Linked DNA regions of Pelodiscus sinensis. The protein of the gene in region 1 purifies or fractionates together with the protein of each later gene. This does not show direct contact. Links are inferred from orthologs where the notes say so. Each region holds a gene or a part of one and is shown in the gene's direction. Other genes may lie near its edges.

Region 1 (3,907 bases):
TGGGTCCCGTATTCTCTGTGGTATGAACCCCACACACTGCGTCTGGGCCTGGTGGGTCCCGTATTCTCTGTGGTATGAACCCCACACACTGCATCTGGGCTCGGTGGAGCCCGTATTCTCTGTGGTATGAACCCCACACACTGCATCTGGGCTCGGTGGAGCCCGTATTCTCTGTGGTATGAACCCCACACACTGCGTCTGGGCCTGGTGGGTCCCGTATTCTCTGTGGTATGAACCCCACACACTGCATCTGGGCTCGGTGGAGCCCGTATTCTCTGTGGTATGAACCCCACACACTGCGTCTGGGCCTGGTGGGTCCCGTATTCTCTGTGGTATGAACCCCACACACTGCATCTGGGCTCGGTGGAGCCCGTATTCTCTGTGGTATGAACCCCACACACTGTATCTGGGCTCGGTGGAGCCCGTATTCTCTGTGGTATGAACCCCACACACTGCATCTGGGCTCGGTGGAGCCCGTATTCTCTGTGGTATGAACCCCACACACTGCATCTGGGCTCGGTGGGTCCCGTATTCTCTGTGGTATGAACCCCACACACTGTGTCTGGGCTCGGTGGGTCCCGTATTCTCTGTGGTATGAACCCCACACACTGCATCTGGGCTCGGTGGGTCCCGTATTCTCTGTGGTATGAACCCCACACACTGCATCTGGGCTCGGTGGGTCCCGTATTCTCTGTGGTATGAACCCCACGCACTGCATCTGGGCTCGGTGGGTCCCGTACTCTCTGTGGTATGAACCCCACACACTGCATCTGGGCTCGGTGGGTCCCGTATTCTCTGTGGTATGAACCCCACACACTGTGTCTGGGCTCGGTGGGTCCCGTATTCTCTGTGGTATGAACCCCACACACTGTGTCTGGGCTCGGTGGGTCCCGTATTCTCTGCGCTATGAACTCCTGCATGTCCCTTATTCTCTCAAGATACTTCCTATTAAAAAAGGAGTTAGAACAGACAGACATGGTGGGTTCAGGAAAGAACCCGCCATTGTGAAGATGGGACCTGGGTGCATCGGGCCCTCAGGGACCGCCGGGCTGGACTGAGTCCCTCCCCCAGTCCTCCTTGCCTCCTCCACCGGCTCTGAGGACAGGGAACGCTGATCAATTATTCAGCAGGCCTAGTCTCTGCCGGCCGGGCTGATTGCAGCACTGGGCTGTAGGCTCTGCGCTCACACACCCGTGCGAGCGTCCGGAGCTGGCAGCCACACAGGAGCGCAGCAACTCGGCTCGGAGCTTGGAGCGTCGGGAGCTCCCAACTTGTTTGCGAATTGAGCGGAGGAGCTTTTGGAGCCAGCAATACTTTCCTCTCTGGACCAAGCTTCCTGTGGGGCTGTGGGGGAGCCCTGCAGAACTCCTGCTTCCTTGTCTTCCTTCCAGCCCCTTCTCTCGCGCTGCTCCGGTAACGCCTCATTTGTCCCTTTCTCTCCTCCAGTCTTGTCTCCTCCCTTTTTCTCTCCATTTCTCCACTTCTCCCTCTGCCACCTCCGGTGTCTCTCTGGTCACTCTAATTTCTTCTCCTCCCCCCCCCCGGCCTGATTTCTCACTCAAGTTTCCTCCCCCTCTGTCCTCCCTAGCTCTCTCTCTCGCTCTCACATCTTTCTTTGTCCCTCAAGAGGGTTGGGCCAAAGCCCTTGTGGACCCCCTGGCTAGCAGCGGAACAAGGAGGGCTGGGGAGGGGTGGGGACCCCCCTCCTGGAGAATGCCCATCCAGATATTCTGCACCATCTCCTTCTCCTCCAGCGAGGAGGGACGTGGAGACAACGGGACCGTGGGGAGAGGAGAAGACAGTGTGGACGAGTTCCTTTACAATCAGGAGGAGGACGAAGAAGAGCAGGAGGAGGGAACAGCCACTGACATTGTGGCTTTTGCCAACAGCTGCACGCTGCACGGAGCCAACCACATCTTCGTGGAGGGTGGCTTCAAGGTGCGGCAGATACTCTGGGCGCTGGCCTTCCTGCTCTCCCTCTCCATGTTCCTCTACCAGGTGGCTGACCGTATCATCTACTACCTGGAGTACCACCATGTCACGCTGCTGGATGAGCAGGACAGCACCGAGATGACCTTCCCGGCCATCACCTTCTGCAACATCAACCTCCTGCGGGTTTCACAGCTCAGCCAGGAGGACCTGCTCTACATTGCGCCCATGGTGAAGTACGAGAGCTGGATGGAGCCGGACTTCCCCCTTGCCCAACTCAGCTCAGAGGCCTCGGAGCAGCCCCTGAACATGTACAACTTCTACAACCGCACCTGCCACCAGCTGGAGGACATGCTGCTGAACTGCAGCTACCGAGGGGCTGTGTGTGGGCCAGAGGACTTCTCCGTGGTGAGTAAGCCCTGCTCCCGTCAGGGGCTTTTGTTCCTCTCAGTAATGTGGGGAAGAACAAGCCCTGGCAGGAGCCAAGGGACCCCTCCTATGGGGCAACTTGGTCCCCTGGCTGATCTCTGCCCCAGCCAGCCTGTTTGTCTCTCAGCTCTGCCACTATGGCAGGGTCCATGTGGCGATAAACATTCAAGGCAAGGCAGTGCCATTGGGCTTCGGCAGGAACCTGGGGATATGAACAGAGCCGGGTGTCTGGCTGAGTGGTGCTTGCAGGATGGTGATTGGCACCCACTGTGTTTATGGGGCTGATATCACTAGACTTGCTCTTTGCTAATTTCCACCCCTAAGAGGCTCATACACCATGAGGAACCCAGCTCCTCAGTGCAGTTTTGGCCCCATAAATGGTTCCCTGAGGCATAGACGACTGTTATAGCTGTTTTGCCCTTTCCCCTACCTCTGCTGGAGCCCATGTGCCTTTGCTGTAGCTTCCTCATGGGGGCCTGAGGCCCCATTCCCCCTCAACCAGCACCAGTGCCACCCGGTCTGCCCAGAGTGTGGTGCCTAGCAGGCCAGATGTACTAGCTGCTGTCATGAGTGTCTAGTTCTAAACTCTAGCAGCCAAGGGCCCTGGCTCGGGCTGGTCTTTCATATGTCTCCTGCCGCTCCGTTGGTGCTGTGACTTGTGCCAGCTGCGCCCACGGGCCCCCCGCATGGCTGGCAAATGGCTTGCTGTAATTAAACTGCTCCATGTGTGACGGGGAGAGAACAGGACCTGAAGGAACAGCAAATGAGCTGGAGAAGTGGGGGAGGGAGGCAGATGAAGTGAAGGCAGGGAGCCATTGTCAGCTGCCCGCCTGGAGCAAGTTCCCTGATGGAAATGTTATTTCTCTTTACCAGCAGCCTGGTGTCAGTTGGCAGGGAGGCAGCCCTTCGAATGCCCCAGTGTTAATACCCCAGTGACGGCTGGCCGGGAGCACTGGGTCTGGTTAGGTTAAGTTTAGAGGTGGGAGCAACAGGAGTCATGTTGTGGTTGGTGTCTGTTATAGATCACCAGATCAGGTGGATGAGATAGATGAGGCTTTCTTTAGAGAACTCACAAAAGCTTCCAGATCACAGGCCCTGGTTCTCACAAGGGACTTCAATCATCCTGACATCTGCTGGGACATCAGTACAGCAGCGCACAGACACTCCAAGAAGTTTTTGGAGAATGTTGGAGATAACGTCCTGGTACAAGTGCTGAAGGAACCAACCAGGGGCCGTGTGCAGCTTGACCTGTTGCTCACAAACAGGGAGGAATTAGTAGGGGAAGTGGATGTGGGCGGCAGTGATCCTGAGATGGTCAAGTTCAGGATCCTGAGCAAAGGAAGAAAGGAGCGCAGCAAAATATAGACCTTGGACTTCAGAAAAGCAGCCTTTGACTCCCTCAGGGAACTGATGGGCAGAATCCTCTGGGATGCTAATATGAAGAGGGAAGGAGTCCAGGAGAGCTGGCTGTATTTTAAAGAAGCCTTATTGAAAGCCCAGGAACAAACCATCCTGATGCGCAGTAAGAAAAGCAAATATGATAGGCAAC
Region 2 (3,907 bases), on another chromosome or scaffold:
GCTGGAGGCTTGGCAGGGGAGCTGGAGGCCAGGGCAGCCCACAGAGCCCCCACCCCCAACCCTGAACTGGAGGCTGGGGTCAGACCATACAGCTTTCCCCCCATTGAACAAGCTGCCATCCAGAAAGCACAATCCTGGGCCCCGGGGAGGAGCTGCCTCTGGAACACTGTCACCATTGCCACCATGATTGGCCCTGGTAAGTCACCCTCCTGCCTCCCTGCCCTATCTCCTGCACCTCCATCCTCTGCTCTGAGCCCAGGGACAGTGGGCAAAAGCCCAGCTGGGGAAGGCAAGTCCCAACCAGATCCTTCCTGGCCATGTGGAGAGCAGCCAGGGCTGCCCGGGGGGAGCGGTCCTTCCTCACCCCTAAACACTCCCTCCCTCCTCTCACACACACCAGCCCCCTGTTCTGAACCCCTCTTCATCCCACACCCTACATCTAACTTGGAACAACCTCAAGTGACTGTTCTGGGTGTCATGGGCAGCAGGGGGCTGCTCAGAGCTAACTGGTTTCCCATTCACGACCCTAGTTGCAAGGTCAAGGTAACTTCCCCCCAGTCCCAGGGGCAGCCCAGCGTGGGCCGAGTGACTTTGCCCCTGGTCGCAGGGTTGCCAATTTTGGTCAGACGTAGTCCTGGAGATTTCATCCCATCCCATCGCCCGTTAAGTCCTGGAGACTCCAGGAGGCTCCTGGAGGGTTGGCAATGACCAGCCTAGGCACGGGAAATGAGCCCCGGCGGGGGTGACGCGCACTGGGGGTAGGGGGGGGCGCAGGCAGGTAGTGCCCTGAGCGCTGCACCGGCTCCTGTCACCTGCTATGGGCCCGGCCTGGCAGAGGCCACGCAGGCGCGTCCACTTGGCCGTTAGCCCGGCGGCTGCGGGGCAGGGGCCCAAGCAGGGAAGTGGCGCGGGCGCCTCCCACGGGATGCGGGACTGCGCCAGAGCCGCGCGCCCGCCCAACGGCCGCCCCAACATGGCGGCTGCAGGGCGCGAGCCCACAGCTGGGCCCCGCCCCTTCCTCTATTGGCTGTCCCGAGAGCCGCCCGAGCGCTCTACGTCTCCATAGCGACCCGTTCTCAGGGGTGGGCCTGTCTTATCGCGAGAAGAGAGCGCGGAGCGGTGGGCGGGCCCCGAGACAGCTGCTCCGACCGGTGGGCGAAGCCCGGGTGCGAGTGGGGGAGAGGGAGTTGGGATAGGTAGGCGGCTTCCGGCCCGGAAGTGACGTGGAGGCGCGGTGTTCTGACAGGTAGAGGCGGCAGGTGGATGCAGGTACCCAGCTCTGGACAGCTGTTTCCGGTGAGTGACTAACGCCTCCCCCGTGCCAGCTTTCCCAGCCCTGGGGGGCACGTTCCTGGGGGGGGGCAGCTGAGGGGCCCCCTTAACCCCATACTGCCCTGAGCGCCGCGGGGCAAAGTCTGGGCCGGTCTCCGCCCCTCCCCTCACTTGCTCCCTTCAGAGCTGCCCCCCCCCCCCCCCGTGCCAGCCTGACCCCTGCTCCTCACCTCGCGCAGCAGCGCGGGATCCCCCAGATCCTGACAACCCTCCACTCCATGCCAAGCAGCCACTAACCCGCTTAGCACCTGGCAGCACTGACCCTGACAAGTCACCGCAGGGCACCGGCACCTTCTCACGCAGGCACACGCAGTCTCCCCACTTCCAGCACCAGCCACCCCAGTGGAGCGACAGAAGCTGGGAGACTCAGAGCAGAGCACGAATCCAGAGATGAACCGCTGTGCAGCTACTGTGATGGTGGTGGTGATGCAGAGAGATGTTTGCTGCGCTCTTCTCTGAAACATGAGGGTGCGGGAGAAAGATGCTTCCTCAAATTGTCAGACATGAGAATACTTTCCATGAAAAAGCAGTGAGGGAAAACTGTGTTTAGCCCTCAGAGGAAGGAGGCAGAGGCCCGTGAGATGCATATTGACTTGCTGCAGAATCCAGAAGAAACTGAAATAGTAAATGGGTGAAGGGAATAAGACCCCAGATAGCTCTGGAAAGTATTGTGCTAAGCAGATTGAATGATGGGCTGTGTCCTTTTCTAAGTATTAGAGTACTTGTATACCTTGTGAAACAATAAAAAGCACCATTACCCCATCTCCAACCCTGAGCAGTGAATCAGAAGAGTCTGAAATATCTCCTTCCCAAACAGCTCCATCCCCAGTTAGCAGAGAGAAGGGGCCTGACAGAGGGCACAGGTTGATTCTTCAGCTTTAGCTGCTGAGCATTGATGAATTGAGAGAATTAAATTTACAAGTCTTTTTTCCTCTTTCCAGGCACTTTGGTGTAAACAGAGTTTCAAGTCAAAAGGCTCCAGACTGCCAGAGCGATGTTTGGAGACTTGGACTATGACATTGAGGAGGATAAGCTGTGAGTACTTTATTTCCCTTTCTTGACAATTAAATATCAAAGAACATGTTTACACTACAAAGGGACAGCTGCAGCTCTGCTGTGGTTCTATGGATACCTTTTATAGTGACTGAAAGGTTTTGTATCACTGTAGTAAATCCACCTCTTAAAGAAGCAGTAGCTAAGTTTGATGGAAGAATTCATCTATCAGCCTAACTCCATTTACAGGCAGTCCCCGGGTTACGTACAAGATAGGGACTGGAGGTTTGTTCTTAAGTTGGATCTGTATGTAAGTCGGAACTGGCGTCAGCTGCTGCTGAAACTGATCAGTTTCAACAGCGGCTGAATCTGGACGCCAGTTCTGACTTACATACGGATTCAACTTAAGAAACCCAGGCGTCCCCAAGTCAGCTGCTGCTGAAACTGATCAGCGGCTGATTCCAGGAAGCCCGGGGCAGAGCAACTCTGCCTCGGGCTTCCTGTAGTCAGCCCCTGGTCAGTTTCAGCAGCGGCTGACTTGGGGACGCCTGGGGCAGAGCAGCTGGGGTGCTGCTGGGTTGCTCCAGTAGCGCCGAGGAGCGGCGCTACTGGAGCAACCCAGCAACACCCCAGCTGCTCTGCCCCAGGCGTCCTGATTCAGCCGCTGCTGAAACTGACCAGCAGCGGCTGAATCAGGACGCCTGGGGCAGAGCAGCTGGGGTGCTGCCGGGTTGGTACAGTAGCGCCGAGGAGCGGCGCTGCGGGACCAACCCGGCAGCGCCCCAGCTGCTCTACCCCAGGCATAGGCAAGAAAAGCCTGGTCTGCTGGGGCGGGGGCACTAGCTACACCCCCCCCCCAGCAGACCAGGGAGACGTGGGTGGCGGGACCGCCCGCGTCCTCCACGGCTTTGCTCCGTCTCCCTGGTCTTCTGACCAGGGAGACGGGGAGCAAAGCCCTGGAGCACGCTCACAGCGGGACAGCCCAGGCGCGCCCAGGCTGTCCCGCTGCGGGCATGCTCCGCGGCTTTGCTCTGCGTCTCCCTGGTCTGCTGGGGGTGTCCAGCAAAGCCGCTGGACCCCCCCAGCAGACCAGGGACACCCGAGCAAAGCCGCTGCCTGGGTGTCCCTGGTCTGCTGGGGGGGTCCAGTGGCTTTGCTGGACCCCCCCCCCCCCCCCCCCCCCCCCCCCCCCCCCCCCCCCCCGCAGCAGACCAGGGAGACCGGGAGAAGCTTTTCTCGCCCCGGAGGACACGGGTGGCAACACACCGCCCGTGAGCTCCGGGGCGAGAAAAGCCCCGTTCGTAAGTGCGGATCCGACATAAGTCGGATCCGCGTAAGTCGGGGACTGCCTGTACTTTGGGGAGTAGTTCAACCTAACTATTCCACAGGACTTGAAATTTTTCATAGCTGTAAGCAATATAGCTAGGTAAACCTAAATTTTAAGTGTAGACAATGCCTAAGGAGCTGCAACAAGGACCTGATCAAAGCAGGTAGAGTTGCTCACTCCTAGTGATGTGTATTGGAGATCTAGGGTCATTGTTCAGTCTTGAGGTCTTGCTCCCTATAGCTAGTGGGGTGGAGC

What was found.
Region 2: the proteins of ASIC1 (region 1) and PICK1 purify together in Homo sapiens (affinity purification with western blotting; 3 studies listed by BioGRID and IntAct, with this or other methods). This does not show direct contact. The link is inferred for Pelodiscus sinensis from reciprocal best matches to the Homo sapiens genes ASIC1 and PICK1.

The regions. Positions count from the first base shown.
Region 1 is NC_134729.1:6,495,213-6,499,119, reverse strand, and holds the start of ASIC1 (acid-sensing ion channel 1), read left to right. Parts: upstream 1-1,237; 5' UTR 1,238-1,713; coding exon 1,714-2,337; intron 2,338-3,907. UniProt on the Homo sapiens protein: Forms voltage-independent, pH-gated trimeric sodium channels that act as postsynaptic excitatory receptors in the nervous system, playing a crucial role in regulating synaptic plasticity, learning, and memory.
Region 2 is NC_134711.1:92,068,945-92,072,851, reverse strand, and holds the start of PICK1 (PRKCA-binding protein), read left to right. Parts: upstream 1-1,078; 5' UTR 1,079-1,296; intron 1,297-2,273; 5' UTR 2,274-2,326; coding exon 2,327-2,367; intron 2,368-3,907. UniProt on the Homo sapiens protein: Probable adapter protein that bind to and organize the subcellular localization of a variety of membrane proteins containing some PDZ recognition sequence.